Linked DNA regions of Lepisosteus oculatus. The protein of the gene in region 1 purifies or fractionates together with the protein of each later gene. This does not show direct contact. Links are inferred from orthologs where the notes say so. Each region holds a gene or a part of one and is shown in the gene's direction. Other genes may lie near its edges.

Region 1 (7,652 bases):
GCAGTCCAGCTTCCAGACCGAGTTTTAAATGTGATCAAATATGCTTCCACCACCCTGTCAAACTGAAGATAACTGAAATGCGGTAAAAGGCTAGTTGATCTCCCAAAGAGCCCCATTCTTCTCACTTTTTTTTTACTTTACAAGAATATCTTGTAAAGAAGTCAAATATAAAACTCATTACATAGATTACACTGTACAAGTTTTGTCATGTACAAAATGCTGTAGGATAGAGCCTGTTTTCTGTTTTGAATTAGCTGTGTCAAACTGTTTTTAAAGTTTCTATAGACCAACGATGTTCGCTAATCATTTGGCAGCTCTTGAGTACTTTCCCTCATGACTATAGGAAGTTCAGTTTAGTTTTGATTTACAATGTTGCTTACCAAATTGTTAACCTGATGAAATTCAAGGTGCTGCATGTCATGTTTTAGTAGAATAAGCTAAAATTAAGAGGTTTTACATTACAGTTTCTGCTCATTAGAGGCATTGTGATTAGTTTAGCACCCTTACCTTATTAGAACACTTAGAAGAGTTTGTAATCTCTTCTGTAGCCTGTTAGAATGTGTATTCTTATCAATATTCTTAGATGATGGAGCTTTCAAATTTTGACAATTGTTTGTAGCAGAAAAACCTTTAGCTCTCATCTAAATGGAGTCACATCAACTGAATGAGCAACTTGTAGGTGTTGAATTATTTTTGGGAGCGGGCTTCAATGCCATTGGAGACTTTATGATGCACAATCATTGAAAATGTAAATGGAGAAACCAAAATGTGAGTTCTTGAAAAAGGAGAGAATGGGAGTCACAATGTTACTTGCCTGTTGATTTATTTAGTCTTCAGCAGGCTTTGGTTTCACATTCAAAATTCTTTTTTTTTTTTAGATACCCAATCTCCAGTTTCAAATGTTCAGTTGTGAGAAAAAGTTTGTGAAATGATCTGGATTTCTGCATGAATGGCTCCTAAAATGTGATCTGATCTTCATTTAAGTCTTAATAATAACTAAAGACAGTCTTATTGAACAAACAACACACACAACATTTTACATTGTCGTATCTTTATTGAACAAATGTCAAGGTCATTGATGGGAAAAGTAGGTGAACCTCTAGGATAATGACATCTTGAAAAGAGGGTAATTGGAGTCAGGTGTTCTAATCAATTCAGGTGTGGGTTTGACCTGCCCTGCCATATTAAAAAAATCTCAACTTTGGTTACCTGCTCTTCACAACAGAATTCTGTTGAACTGCAATATGGCCTCATCGAAAGAGATTTCAAAAGACTTCAGAAGAAGAGTTGTTGAAGCTCATAAGACTGGATTTCTGAAGACCTGGACCTCTGTCTGTCCACAGTCAGGCAGATTGTTTACAAATGGAAGAAATTCAGCACTGTTGCTACTCTCCCTAGGAGTGGGCATCCTACAAAGACTGGTAGCAAGGGCACATCATAAAATCCTCAAACAGGGGACAAAGAACCCTAGGGTGTCAGCTAAGGATCTGCAGGCATCTCTTGCACTTGATAATGTCTGTGTTCATGAGTCTACCATAAGAAACACTGAACAAGAGTGGTGTTCATGAGAGGTGACCATGAAGGAAACAACTGCTCTCCAAGAAAAACATTGCTGCCTGTCTCAACTTTGCTAAAGTCCACCTGGATGGTCCACATCACTACTGGAACAATGTTCTGTGGACAGATGAGACAATAAGTGAGCCTTTTGGTAAATATACTGTACATAGCGTTTTCTTTGGAGAAAACAAAACACCATATACCAATACCAAAACATCATCCCAGCTGTGAAGCATGGGAGTGGGAGTATAATGGTGTGGGGCTGCTTTGCTGGACAGCTTGCAATCATTGAGGGACTAATATATTCCAAGTTGTATCAGGATATTCTACAGCAGAAGGTCAGGGAATCTGTGATCTAAAACTCAAAAGAAGTTGGGTCATGCAACATGACAATGATCCAAAACACAGGAGTAAATCCACAACAGAGTGGCTCAAACAGAAGAAATTCCGTATTCTTCTGTATGAGAGTCCTGACCTCAATCCCATTGAAATGCTGTGGCGTGATCTGAAACAGACTGTTCAAGCAAGACATCCCAAAATTATACATGAAATGAAACCGTTTAGTATAGAGGAATGGGCCTAAATACCACCTAACCGAAGCATTTGGTTGAGATTATTGCCAATAAAGGGGGTTTCATTACTTACTAAATATAAGGGTTCACATACTTTTTCTATCAATGACCTTGATTGTTAAAACCATTTGTTCAATAACAATATGGCTATGTAAAATGTTGTGTGTGTTGTTTGTTAAATAATACTATATTTATTATTATGACTTAGATGAAGATCACATTTTAGGAGCCATTCATGCAGAAATCCATATAATTCCTAAGGGTCCACAAACTTTTTCTTACAACTGTATATATTATCTCTACAAAGATCAAGGTATAACATACCTGGTATTCAACTGGAAGAATACTGGAATACTGACAGTAATCCAAGAGTCCTGTATTGCCCTTATTATGAATGACGTCTTAAACCGTTATCCTCCAGAGAGCACAATTTATGTGTAACTCCTCAACTTTCTTTTAGGTTGTTCTTGTCAAGAGCTTCAATGTGTTTTTTGAGGATTTGGTGCTCAAACTGAAAATAAGCAAATGTGTTATTACATGTACGCGTCCTACATACTTACTACCTCTCCCATTAAGATGACTGGAGGGGGTGGGAGAGGATCTGTGCTGAACAAAAAGGGATAGGAAACAGCCTGCAGTTTAAGCATCTTAAAATGTATTTAAATATTTATTTAATACTGCTGAGCAAAGCTAAATTGACATACAAGTGTTTAGGAGAAAGTAAAAAAAAATGTTGTGTATGTCTCTTCTTTAGTGCATTTGTAGAAACCTGGTTAGCTTTTCTATTGTATATTTCCCCTAGTAAAGGCCTTTTTTTATTCAATTTAAATCTGTTGCTTTTTTTGTTTCTTAAGCCCCATGTCTGGAAATTGTTAGACAATGGCAAAACATTAAACCTCAGTGGTGTGTTCCATCTTTTGATTTTGTACTGTCCTTTGAGACTATAAATATTGCTGAACCTTTTCTTGTACGATCCAGATACCATGAAGAAGCCGTGTTCCTTCTTAGTCTAAATTCATTAAAACATCAATGTATAAAGATTTGGAAGTTTTATTATTCATTGAGTAGGTACTTTGTTATTTAAAGATTGCTTGAAACAGAAAAAAACCTAAATAATATTTAGCCCTTAAAGACCAGACTTCCTTTAAGATGACTAACTACTTGCTCAGGAGATCATTAGCCTAACAAGAGCTTCTGATCCCTAGAAATAGTTATTATACCATCATCTTTAAGACTTACTGGTTTGAGCTATGTTCTAATGGATATCCTCTAGCTTACCCAAGATGGATTCCTTTGCAGTTTCTGGTGTCTGAATGTCACCTACTACATTACATTATGTCAATCTTCAGGAACAAATACTGTCACTGGTGACGATAAATATCCAACCACCCCATATGCTGCTTCTTTAGACCTCAGTTTATAGTGATTGTTACAGTATACTATGCTCTACCATCATGAAATAAGACATAGAATGCCACCCTTGCTATTTTTTTTCTGTTGAGCACACACACACACAAAACCAAATGACATTGCTTCATTCTTACCATATTGTCGGGTGCCTGAAGAAATAGTTGAGTTAACCATCACTGTTACTGTGCAGACGTGATGCATTGTGTTGACCATCTTGATAGTCCTATGAGTGGTTGAGTAGATCTTGCTGGATCTTGAGTGGTATTGGCACTTGGCAGCATCAGTAGAGGAGTGGCCTTTCAACGACTTGGTCATTTCACCTCGCAACATCCATGACATCATTATTCCAAGAATGCATTACAACCATTGAGTTTCTGCTTCATTTGAAAAGTGCTTAAAAATGAACTTCAGCATTCTCACTGCACTTATCACCATTGTATGTGTAAATTCACAATTCCACATTTCTAAATTTCTGTCAGTAAATGTTGCAAATCATATTTGTGGGTCTGAACAGATGCAACTTTTCTGAAGTGTAGGAATATAATTTACAGTGTATGGATATTACAGAATGATTTATAATGGTTTTGCAATTTGTAAATCTGATATCGAAATCTGAAATTTAAGCACCATCTCTAGTGCTAGACAATGAATACTGTTCAGGAACATAAAAGTCGATTCAAGCTGCAGAACACACATCATTGTCATTTTAGTCAAAAGACCGCCAACGTTAAATAAAACACAACTTCCCGAAGGCCTTCATACTGTTTGTGTCTAAAGCAGCGCTTTCTGGAATATGTAGTTCAAAACGTGAACTGTCATTTAAAACAGTACTGAAGTCCTAAACTGCATTTCCCAGAAATCCACGGTGGCACCCTTTTAATCAAATACGATAATGCAGGTCTTTTTTGGGAAATGTAGTATTTTCTGTGACTCGAGCACGGTACTAGTTCTCCTCCCCTGCGGTATCAAGACTACTTTACCCAAAAGCCATTGCTTTCACGAGTTTCTTGCCGCCATGTTGTAGGAAATCCGCTTGTGGGGGGATTACAGAGTTTAATCCGAGAGAACAGGGACAGAGGCTGGAAGATAGAGCGAAGAGAGAGAGAGAGAAGAAAAAAACCCTAAAGCAGACATAGGCCCGAAAGCAGTGAAATACAGTCAAATAACCCAGCAGCTAAACACCGTGGCATTAAAAGACTTCGACTCGCCAAAATTGGGAGAGTGGATTTGCAAAACCGTTTTTTTTTTCCTGGCTACATTTTTTAAGTTAGCTGGTTTGGACTGATTCTGTGACAGAAATTGACAGCAGCTGGATAGCTAACGAAAAAGAAGAGAGGGGAGAGCAAAATTTGTCAGGAAAAAATAATTTCGTCGAGTAAAGTGGGTTTCCCCCCCTTTCCCCTTTCCCCTCACATTTTTTTTCACCTCCTAACTAACCAAGGAACTCCCATTTTGGGTTGTCCTGGTTTGCTGGATTTGAATTCGAGGGGAAATAAAAAAGGACAGAATAAGCGTACGCAGGGGGAAATATTAGAATACAAAATTCCTGAGGTGAGTCGAGGTGAAAGATGTCTGGGAAAGACCAGAATAAGCAATCCACCACCGAGCGGATTATAAAAGGTAAGTGGTCTTCTCTAACACGGAACAGCAACTTTTACTGTTTGTGTTTTCGTTTAGGGCGGGTTTTCTAAATAGCACGGCAATAATTAAGCTATCCAACGTGGACATGCATTCGTGTCACACCAGGATCGGGGTCGGCTAGCTGTAAAAAAATACATTTTTCTCCCCCCAACCAGAGTCGAGTACAGGCTGTAAATCTGCGGTGTGTATCGTCTTGTCCGAAATGCCAAGCTTAGCCATCTACAGTAGCTACGTCGCGTATTTCAACGAACATTTAAACTTTGCTGGTTATGTTTCCCATCGTACGTGTATTTATATCACACGAGGTTTGAAACAGGTTTTTGGTTCCATTCATCGTGCAAACCAGCTGCCGTTTAAGAGCACTCTTAAAACACAGCTGCGGTAGTAAAAGAAACGTATTATTATTTAATTTATCGTTTTATACTACTTTTATTTCTTTCTGGTTTGTCCAATTGTACAAATGACTTGTCCTGCTTTAACGTTTGTACGGAAGAAGTTCTAATCTGCCTTTCAGTTTAGCAGACCTCTGAAAAATCGTATTCATCCCCTAGAACTGCTGTCCGATTGAATTGAAGTTATGATTGCAAACGTGTATAGTGTAGTCGTGCATTTGAGTGTGTGCTTAAATAGCTTAGGTCATGTAAGACATATTTCCTAAGCTAATTTCTAATAATACATTGCATTTAGCGATCCAGAGCTGTCTTGCTGGAATAACAGCCAGCTGGCTTGGGGTGAACAGTATTGTTTGGCAGTTGAGCTCTGCGCCTTGACCAGCAGTCCTGACGCTAAGAGGTCTTGACGGAATGTGAAGAATTACTGCCCCATCTGGTCTAAGTGTAACAAGGTGAACGGGCTCGGATGAGCCTTGTCTGGGTCAGAACACAACGCAAAACAAAACTACATCAACAAAAATCCAGCTCCGTCAGGTTGCCATCCTGCGACTGGCGCCAAGCTTTTAAAATGCATCATTTCAATAGGCTCAGTATTGCCCGCACTCCCTTCCATTTTGGAAGCTTTTGCATTCTTTTAGAACCTGGAACGAGTGTAAAATGCTGCCTTCTATGGCACATCTCCGAGCAGAGGTCGTAAGGCGATTTGTAATTGGGAAAGGCTATTAGAGGAAATGAGTCCCGTGGGATTTGAATGAATCGCGATTTAAACGTCAGAAGCCCGGCAGTGAGGAGAACAGCCTTCTTCAAGACAGTGGAGTCAAAAGCTGCATGTGAACCTTTTTTTTGCCGTTTTCATAGGTGATAAATTGGGCAGTTTTTATACTTTACATGTAGGGTACAAGACTTGACTGTAACAAAACATAAAATTGAGTCAAAAAGGTTTTTTTCTTTATGGAGTGGTAACTCATTCACGTCTACTATATGAAAGAGAGAAAACCAGGCAGAGTTGTGGATGGGATAGGGTGTGTTAATTCTCAAGTTTTATGTTGAAGCAAGGAAACATGACAGAGCACAAGGGCAACAGAAGATGGAGGAGGGGGAGGTGTTGGTAGAAGTTCTTTAAAGTGCATGCCATGAAAACACACCCTGAAGCGACAGAGGTGGGGATGTTTTCTGTTTTGCTCCAAGAGAGCTAGCTGTTTGCATTCTGACACCACTGTTGGATCAGTGTGGGATTCACGCCTATCCATGCTAATTGATTCAGGGATGTTGCCGTAAAAGATTGTGTGATTAATCACGTTGAAACTAACGAATAAATCGGGCACAGCCAACCTTGGCACTCACATCTCTGTCTGAGGCAAGGCTAATCCTCAGTTATTTTAGTCACTTTCAGTGACAGAATCAGATAAGTTAATAAGAGTTCATTAATAAAACTATTTGGGTTTGCAAAGGAATGAAACGGAGGCTGTGAGTTTGCCCAATCTGTCAGTAAATGCTTCGTTACAGCTTTTAAATACAACATTAATATAGACTTTAGTGTTGGGAAGTTCATGTGTTCAGCAAGGGAAACACTTTAGTGATATTAATGATTCTTGTTTCATTAGAACAATCTATAGAAAGATGCAAATATCACGGAATTCACTGAACTGATATTTCCCATCCTCTTAGGGGGATAAATCTTTGTATTTTTTACCTTTTTGGTAATTTAGATATAGAGGTTGTTTTGTAATTTCATGTGCTGAAGAAGGAAGTAGAGTGTCTACCAGTTTTGCTTAGATTACATTTGCTTCAGGATTTCTAAAATATTTTCATGTCCATGAATTAAAAATTAGTTTAAATTAATTTAATATTAATAGTTAAGAATGAGGAAAGTACTGTTTCATTGCTTATGTACAGAGTTAGTAATCAATGTAGTTGGTTATTGATTTTATTTTACATAAAATATTAAGCATGGGGTGCAAAGATCTGTCATTAAGGGCTATATTAATGGAAGTTTTGTTTTGTGGGTATCTGCTTCATTTCAGTGGCTGCATATTGAATTTTTTATGTACAAGCTATGGAGAACAAAGCAAAGCAGTGT
Region 2 (7,706 bases), on another chromosome or scaffold:
AATGGAAGTATCCATTAGGTTTTTAATATATTAATGCAAACCGTGGACTATACATAACTACTTGTGCCTCTTAAGTAGCACCAATTCTTGACCTTTAAGAATTTAAGAACAGCTACAGCTTTGAAGAGGCCTTCCACAACATAGTTGGGTAGCTTGTTCCAGACGCCTTCAGTTTATGAACTAACAGGATTGTGGAGCTCTGGGATTCAGTTTGAAGAGTTATTCCTTTGCAAACTGTAAATGTATCTTTCTTTAGTTTAAATCTTGATGTGTCAAGGCTATACTGGTTTGCTTTGTTAGTTGATATTTTAGGGTTTATTTAGCAAGTAACGGACAGTACAGTGGCGCAGTGGTTAATATGGCTGCCTTGCAGTGCTGGGGCCCTGGGCCCAGTTCCTGTAGTCCTCTCTGTGTGGAGTTGGTACATGCTTCCTGTGTTTGTGTGGGTTTCCTCTAGGTGTTCCAATTTCTTCCCACAGTCCAAAAACGTGCTGAAAGGTTGACTGGCATCTGGGAAAACTGGCCCTGGTATGAGTGTATCTTTGTCTGTGTGTGGCCTGCAATGGGCTTCAATTCCTAAAGAACAGGCAATATCTTCTGTGCTTCCTTTATCAAAAGCCATTTTAAACTGATATATTGCCAACTTAACGGCAGCCAGAATCCTGACCAGATCTAGTGCAAGTGTACACATTACCCCTATCCTCAGAGTCCTTACACTGGCTTCCTGTCAAATTCCATGTGGACTTTAAAATCCTCATGCTCATCTATAAGGCTCTGCATGGCTTGGCACCTCAGTACCTGTCTGAATTATTATCGCCCTACTCCTCATCTCGCAACCTTCACTCTTCTAATTCTGGTCTCCTAACTGTCCCCCATTAAGGATTAAGAACCCATCTACATTGTATGTGTGACAGGGCCTTCTCCTGTTCTGCCCCCAAGCTCTGGAACTCTCCGCCCAAGGATATCAGAGAGTCACCCTCTCTAAACTCCTTCAAACCCAGACTCAAACGTTCTTCTTTAAAAGAGTCTTTACTTAACTGATTCCATTCTTTACCCCTCTGCTCCTACTATACTTAGTACCACCATCTACTGTCTCCTCTGTGTATTGTAATTGTGTTCTATCTTGTGTATCCTTTTTATTTATTGTTGTTGTCATTCTGTAAAGCGCTTTGAGAAGCCACCTTTAAAAGCGCTATATAAAATAAAGTTTATTATTTTATTATATTAATAAAGGAACTATGGATCTTCTACAGAGCATGGTCTGTAACCCTACGTTTTCATTCAAATATTTCTGTGTGTGCATGTTAGTGTCTCTCTGACCCCTGTGACAGACTGGCGTCCTGTCCAGGGTGTACCCTGCCTTGCACCCACTGCTGGCCAGGCCAGACTCCGGCACCCACCCAGCCCCAAACTGGGTAAAGCAGTTCGAAGATGGATGGATTAGTAAGTAAGACGGTCTTCTGTAGTTGCGTTGCCCCCTAACTGTGAGAGCCGAAAATGAGTGTTCTTGTGCACAGGCCATACTCGTAGTGGCAGCTAGGTCCAGGACTTCTTCAAACTGGGAAACTGGAGTTTTATTTCTCTCTACAATTAAAAAGGAGAAAAAAAGAGATTCTATAGAAGCATCATCACAGACTTTGTTCAGAGATTTTTATTGAACCTGAAAAGCTAAATAATTCTAAGCAGATGAAGAGTCGACCTGTTAAATAGAATTTAAATGAAGCACATGAGAAGAGTACATCAGAACTGTATGATTTTGAATTAACCAGTACTTTTTAAGATGGAAGAATCTTCGCTTTGCCTGACAATAATATCACAAAATGACAAATGAACATCTTCTGGGCTGGAAATACAGGGTGTCCAACCATGTTGCTGAAACAAGTACAGCACAAAGCCACTGGATGAGATCCTTGGATCAATTAAATACTATCAAATGGGCTGAATGGCTCCTCTCATTCGTAACCTGTCTTGTGTTTTTATGGTGGTACAGTACTTGACCCAGCACTGAGGAAAGCTATCGAACAAGACTGACTTCTCTGAATGCACACTAGTCAGTGTAAAGACGCAGATATTAGGCATAGCTTCTAAACTACTACAGTCTCATCAAAAATGAATGTGAGTTCTGAAAACAAGATTTTTTAATTCAGAATAATAAGTTTGCCTCACTCTCCTTACTGCTGTTTTAGAATATAGTTAGTCAAAAGAACTATCAAATACTCCATAATCAGAAGATTCATTAACGACCTTCTGAATTAGGTTAATACATGACAGATTTGGAATGCCAATGTTCTGTTTCCCATTCAAACCACAGTGGAAACTAGTTACACATTACTCAGGTTTTGCAGTACTGTTTCATATGAACTGCACCTTTATTTCCTTTTCAAATTTAATCTGCTGCCTGCCTATCTAATGTATGCCTTTCACTTTAGTTTTACTTTTCAAGATACCCTGAATGCAAATGAATTAATTTTAATATTAACTTCATTTGATCACAGACATCTGCAATAATTAAAGATGGCTGTGTTGGTATCGTACTTTTCCACTCCTGTTTTGAGGGCTGCTGAAATATGCCCATATTTGTTGGTTGGAGCAGAGAAGATGGATAGAGACAGAAAACTGCCAATTGAAAAACAAGGAATGTGACTTTAGAATGTAAGAGCATTAAACACGTGAAAGCATCTTCATTTAAAAACTAAAAATTCCCAAATTAGAATATGTCCTAAACATTTCAAAACAGTTCTTTAATTTAATGTTGAAATACATAAAGAAAACCTTACCTGGTGTGTCCTTTGGGGCGTTTGTTGGAGGATTCTGTGTTTTGACTTCTGTGCTGGTTGTGCATCCCATCTTTGATAACAAGAATATACCCCAAACTCTGGCTAGAGCTGTCTGATTCCTGTATGAACTGATCCCTTTTCCTTCCACTGCTGGTTATTAATCATTTTATTTACACTGCCTTTTATCACAGCTTCCTGTCACTTGTCTGCCATAGTAACACCTTGTGTGGGATGTTTCCCTGCAGAGCCCGGCTATGGTTTTGAAATCTGGAGATAATTCAACAAAGTTAATCTTTCGGTTAAGCAAAAGTTAATGATTTAACTCTCATTACCCATGGCAGAACTAATGCCCAAGGAGCTGATCCCAACATAGTTCTTGTTCACAGGCTTCTTAGTCGCTAACTCTAATTGTTAGTACTTTAAATCTTTATCTTTTGTGAATTTCTCCAGAGAAGACATAGACCAAGGTACAAAAGCTTTCAAAAGTGCTGAAGAATTCAGTAAGCTTCTGTGTTGTAAAATCATTTTAGATGTTCAAAATAAGCATATTGCTTTGCTGTCCAGCAACATTTTAGAGTCATCAATTTGGAAAAAACACACAGATTTTTGCGAACCCACAAATGTGTGTGCGCTTGTCTCCAGGAAGTTTGTAATACTGACTCCCTGTCCCTTTCTGATTTTTTTTTGCTCTGCTCTAGTTCCCCTAATGTATATACAACAAATGTGTTTACACAAGAAACACAGCACTAACAATATTATCAGAACCGCAGCAGAGCCAGCAATGGAACACTTCTTATTATATGGTGCTCGGAAGCCAAACTAAATTAGATTATTGGATTTGGGAGGAAAACAGGAAAACTTGAATGCCCGTTGCTTAACTTGTCCTTTAGTACTACAAATTTTAGCCTCCCTTCACACTGTGCTGTGTCGGCAAATAAAATCATATCAGTGCACAGTTCAGGCGGCTCTGAATGTTCTTTGTAAATTACAGTGACGGATGAGCGTGACTGCTGCCGTGGCAACAGATGCCCTCTTTTGAACAAGTTCCTACTTGTGGAGCAAAAAACGAGGCAATGTCAGAGGAGGGGCAGACACCAGGTTACACTTCACCTTGCATTTACAAGGCATTTGGTAAGTAATAACCTTTTAAGAAGTGCTTAAATATGCTAGAATACTTACTGTAAATCTGGAAGGTTTCTTCTCATAAAAAATAAGAATGACCTCTAGTTAAACACATTTTATTGAGACACTTTGAAGTGTATGGTATTGTAAATTAATCGGAAAGACTCACAAGTTCAGCAGGTGTGAGCCTGGTCAGTACCTGGATGGGAGATGTCCTGGGAAAGATAAGGTTGCTGCTGGAAGAGGTGTTAGTGGGGTCAGTAGGGGGCGCTCACCCTGTGGTCTGTGTGGGTCCTAATGCCCCAGTATAGTGACGGGGACACTATACTGTAAAAAGGCACCATCCTTTGGGTGTGATGTAAAAACGAGGTCCTCACTCTCTGTGGTCATTAAAAATCCCAGGGCGTTTCTTGAAATGAGTAGGGTATAATTTCCATCTTTGAACTGGCTTAATCACTGTTCTCCTCCCCACTGAGAGCTGGTGTGTGGGGAGCGTACTGGTGCACTATGGCTGCCGTCGCATCATCCAGGTGGGGCTGCACACTGGTGGTGGTGGAGGGGAGTCCCCATTACCCGTAAAGCGCTTTGAGTGGAGTGTCCAGAAAAGCCCTATAAAAGTGTAAGGCTTTATTATTATTCCTTCATAAGATAAAATTTGCGCTGTAGATTGCACGGCACACAGGGGACTCTTAAAGCATATTTTGGATGTTATCAGGATTAAGAATGGCCTTTTCATTTTCATTTTGGAGGCGCAGTCTCTTTTCTCTTATCTACTCTAGTTAACCTCGTACGTTTTTTTAATTTCTTTGTACGACGTTTCATTTTTAATTTTCTTTTCGCGTCGGGTACTTGTTAGACGTGCCACTGCCATGGGAACCCGTGTCGTGCAGGAAGCAGCTCCTTTGAAGAACCGTCCGAAGCCCCCAGTTTTGTTTTGTTTGTTTTTTTGTTACTAAAACGAAATCCGCGACTTCTGAAAACTGAAAGACGCCGAATGGAAACAGCCACGAATGGGCCGCATTCATTTTTTTTGGTTGCTGTCCTCGCCGAGCGCCGGGAGGTGCTTCTGGCCGAGCTGTCGCCGCCGGCACGGCGAATCCTCCCAGGTGAGCCGTGTTCACCCGGCGCTCGCCACCAGTCTTGACGCGCAGCCTCCCCGACCCCGTCCGCCGCCGTGCCGATTGGTCACCCAGCGAGAGGGGCGGCAGGCCATTGGTCCTGTCCTGCAGCCCTCCGATGAAGGTGTAGGGTGCACCCACCTGCAGCCGGAGCGGTCACAGGGTGGGGAGGGGAAGGGGGGGTGATGCACGGGCGATTGAGCGATATAACTTCCAGCTGTGAAAATACAGCTGCGGGCGCACCAAAACAGCCCGAGGATTGCGCTGCGCGTTCGTTTTGCGCTAAATCCAAGAGCAGCGGAAAGTCGGCGGGCTGTTAACGCGGGTGGCTTTGTGGTGAGTAAGGCGATCCGCCCGTTGTCGATTTGGAGTTGACCCGAGGGGTCCTCTTGATCCGCGGAGAGCGTGATTTGGAGGTGGCAGGAAGACGCGCCGGCTACGCTGGGGCTGCGTGATGTAACCGCGCTCGGTTGTCATTTTGACATTGAGCCGGTGTGACGCGAGGTCCGTGTGTGTCGCCGGGCTCTGGTGTCCCACACGCACGGCTATTTTTAAGTCTATTTCGTTGTTAGCCCGTCATATTTTTAGGTGCATGTAACGGCGGCTCTTACAACGCTACTACGAATCTTCTCCGACCAGTGTTGTGAACAGTCTCGGTATACTTAAGTACGGGGTGGCACAGATAACAACGGTATACTTTGTTAAGAGGAACAAATCTGTGCTCCTTAGATTGTGTTGCAACGTTTATGAATAATAATAAAACAACTTTCTACGATGAGTTCCACGATCAGACGCCGCTGGTGTATTAATTAAAAAAGATATGGTGTATTAATTAAAAAACATATGGTCTTGAAGGTCGAACGTTTTAATTGTTTGAAATGTAGACGCCACATGAGAGTAAAGTTCTTTTATGTTATGTTCCTCAAATATAACATCACGGTGTATTTACCTCATCTGCACTTCACCGCTTTTTTCGAATGATGTCGCTGCGGGGCGACAAATTATGGTTTAGAGTGGAGGTCGTTCACAGTGCTGTTTCTGTTTATACCTGACGTATGTTTGTATTCACACTTCAAAACTATGCACTATTTGTCTGTGAAAATAGTAATAACACTGTTATGTAAGAGGGCGGTAGTCACGAATGTGGTTATTTTCTTTATGTCTTTGCAATGGTTGTCACAACACTTGATTGTCGTCTAGGAAAATATGTATTTTTTCTCTGTTTCAATCAATCTAACAATATTACAATAATTACCTGCATAAAAAATGCCTTCCTGCTTTGTGCAACACGTGTTAGACAGACGTTATTGTAAATATCTAAAAAAGTCATTTTTATTCCTTGATTGTTACCTATGTGGTATGTTCTGTTTCTTATATCTATTATTGCATCTACTGTACGGGGTGGAGCACGGGTATACAAAAGATCAGTGCAATCTTAGTTTTAAACACCCTGCGTTTAAATAACACTTTAGCAGAAGAAGCATACAATTCTTGTTCCAGTGATTTCCTTCCCCGCTTCTTCCTTTCAATTCTTTCTCAAACAATTAAAAAAACAAGGGACCGCAACAACAACAATATTGATGTTTGAGTAGCGGGCTGCGTCAGCGTGCGTAGGCTGCAAAAGAACAGGTAAAGGCTTAGGACAGAGGGGAACCAGCAGAAAATAATCATGAATAATAATAGCTGTGATTTATAAAGCGCCTTTCGAAACCCAACCACACCGTACATGGTGATGCAGAAACAGACGAAGATGCGTGTCGGATGTTGCACCGACAGGGCAGCTGCTGAGTGTCCACTCTTTGTCCCCTCAGCACGCACAGTGTCCGGCCCACTCCCATCCCACCATGCTGAGAGACGGCGGGAAGGCCTGGAGCGACCCGGAGGAGGAGGAGGAGGAGGAGGAAGAGGAGATGATCTTCGGGGAGAACGACGAGGACGCGGAGGAGATGATGGACCTCAGCGACCTGCCCACGTCCCTGTTCGCCTGCAGCGTCCACGAGGCCGCGTTCGAGGAGGACCTGCACCGGGTGAGCACTGAAGCTCCAAGGGGCAGGGTGTCCTGGTCGTGTCATTGTGTGCCACCCAGTGGAGAAGCGATCCCAGTAACAGTTAACCCAGCGGCACTACCTGGCCTCCAGCCCCTGACCTGCGCTCAGAGTGAGTGCCTGTATTGATAGATAGATACTTTATTGATCCCGTGAGGGAAATTGCAGTGCAACAGCAGCTGAACACAGACAACACAGCCACAGTGTAACGAATGATACAATAATAATAATACAATACATACAATTGATCCAGCCATGTGTAATATGGATTTTCTTTACCCTGCATTATTTGTTTTTAAGTGTGCGTTGCCTTGATCAGAGGCATGGGATCAATAATTTAATATTGCTGGCACCGCTCAAAAGGGTACAATAAAGCAATTGTCAGGTTGCCGATATGAAAAATAGCAGGCGCGTGCACTGAGGTTTCTGAAGCAATGAAGAGCAGTGAGTCTGGAAACCAGAATTCTCCACAAGAGCCAGAACCCTGCTATAGGTGACCTCAATCCTAATGTACTGTGGAAATGTGCACCTGCTGTATGGTCCAGTAAATGCTAGCCGTGCACTCAGGCTAACAGTGACAAGAGTGGTCTCGCATCTCTTTCAGTGTGGGCCGATTCCTGCTCAGATCTCCTCTCCTGTGTTAT

The links. Proteins that work in one complex are often made in the same cells at the same time.
Region 2: the proteins of ppp3ccb (region 1) and rcan3 purify together in Homo sapiens (affinity purification with mass spectrometry; 3 studies listed by BioGRID and IntAct, counting the BioPlex papers as one, with this or other methods). This does not show direct contact. The link is inferred for Lepisosteus oculatus from reciprocal best matches to the Homo sapiens genes PPP3CC and RCAN3.

The regions. Positions count from the first base shown.
Region 1 is NC_090697.1:68,025,790-68,033,441, reverse strand, and holds the start of ppp3ccb (protein phosphatase 3, catalytic subunit, gamma isozyme, b), read left to right. Parts: upstream 1-4,563; 5' UTR 4,564-5,107; coding exon 5,108-5,159; intron 5,160-7,652. UniProt on the Homo sapiens protein: Calcium-dependent, calmodulin-stimulated protein phosphatase which plays an essential role in the transduction of intracellular Ca(2+)-mediated signals. Dephosphorylates and activates transcription factor NFATC1.
Region 2 is NC_090706.1:4,244,000-4,251,705, reverse strand, and holds the start of rcan3 (calcipressin-3), read left to right. Parts: upstream 1-4,637; 5' UTR 4,638-4,909; coding exon 4,910-5,005; intron 5,006-5,089; exon of another isoform or gene 5,090-5,353; intron 5,354-6,828; coding exon 6,829-7,044; intron 7,045-7,706.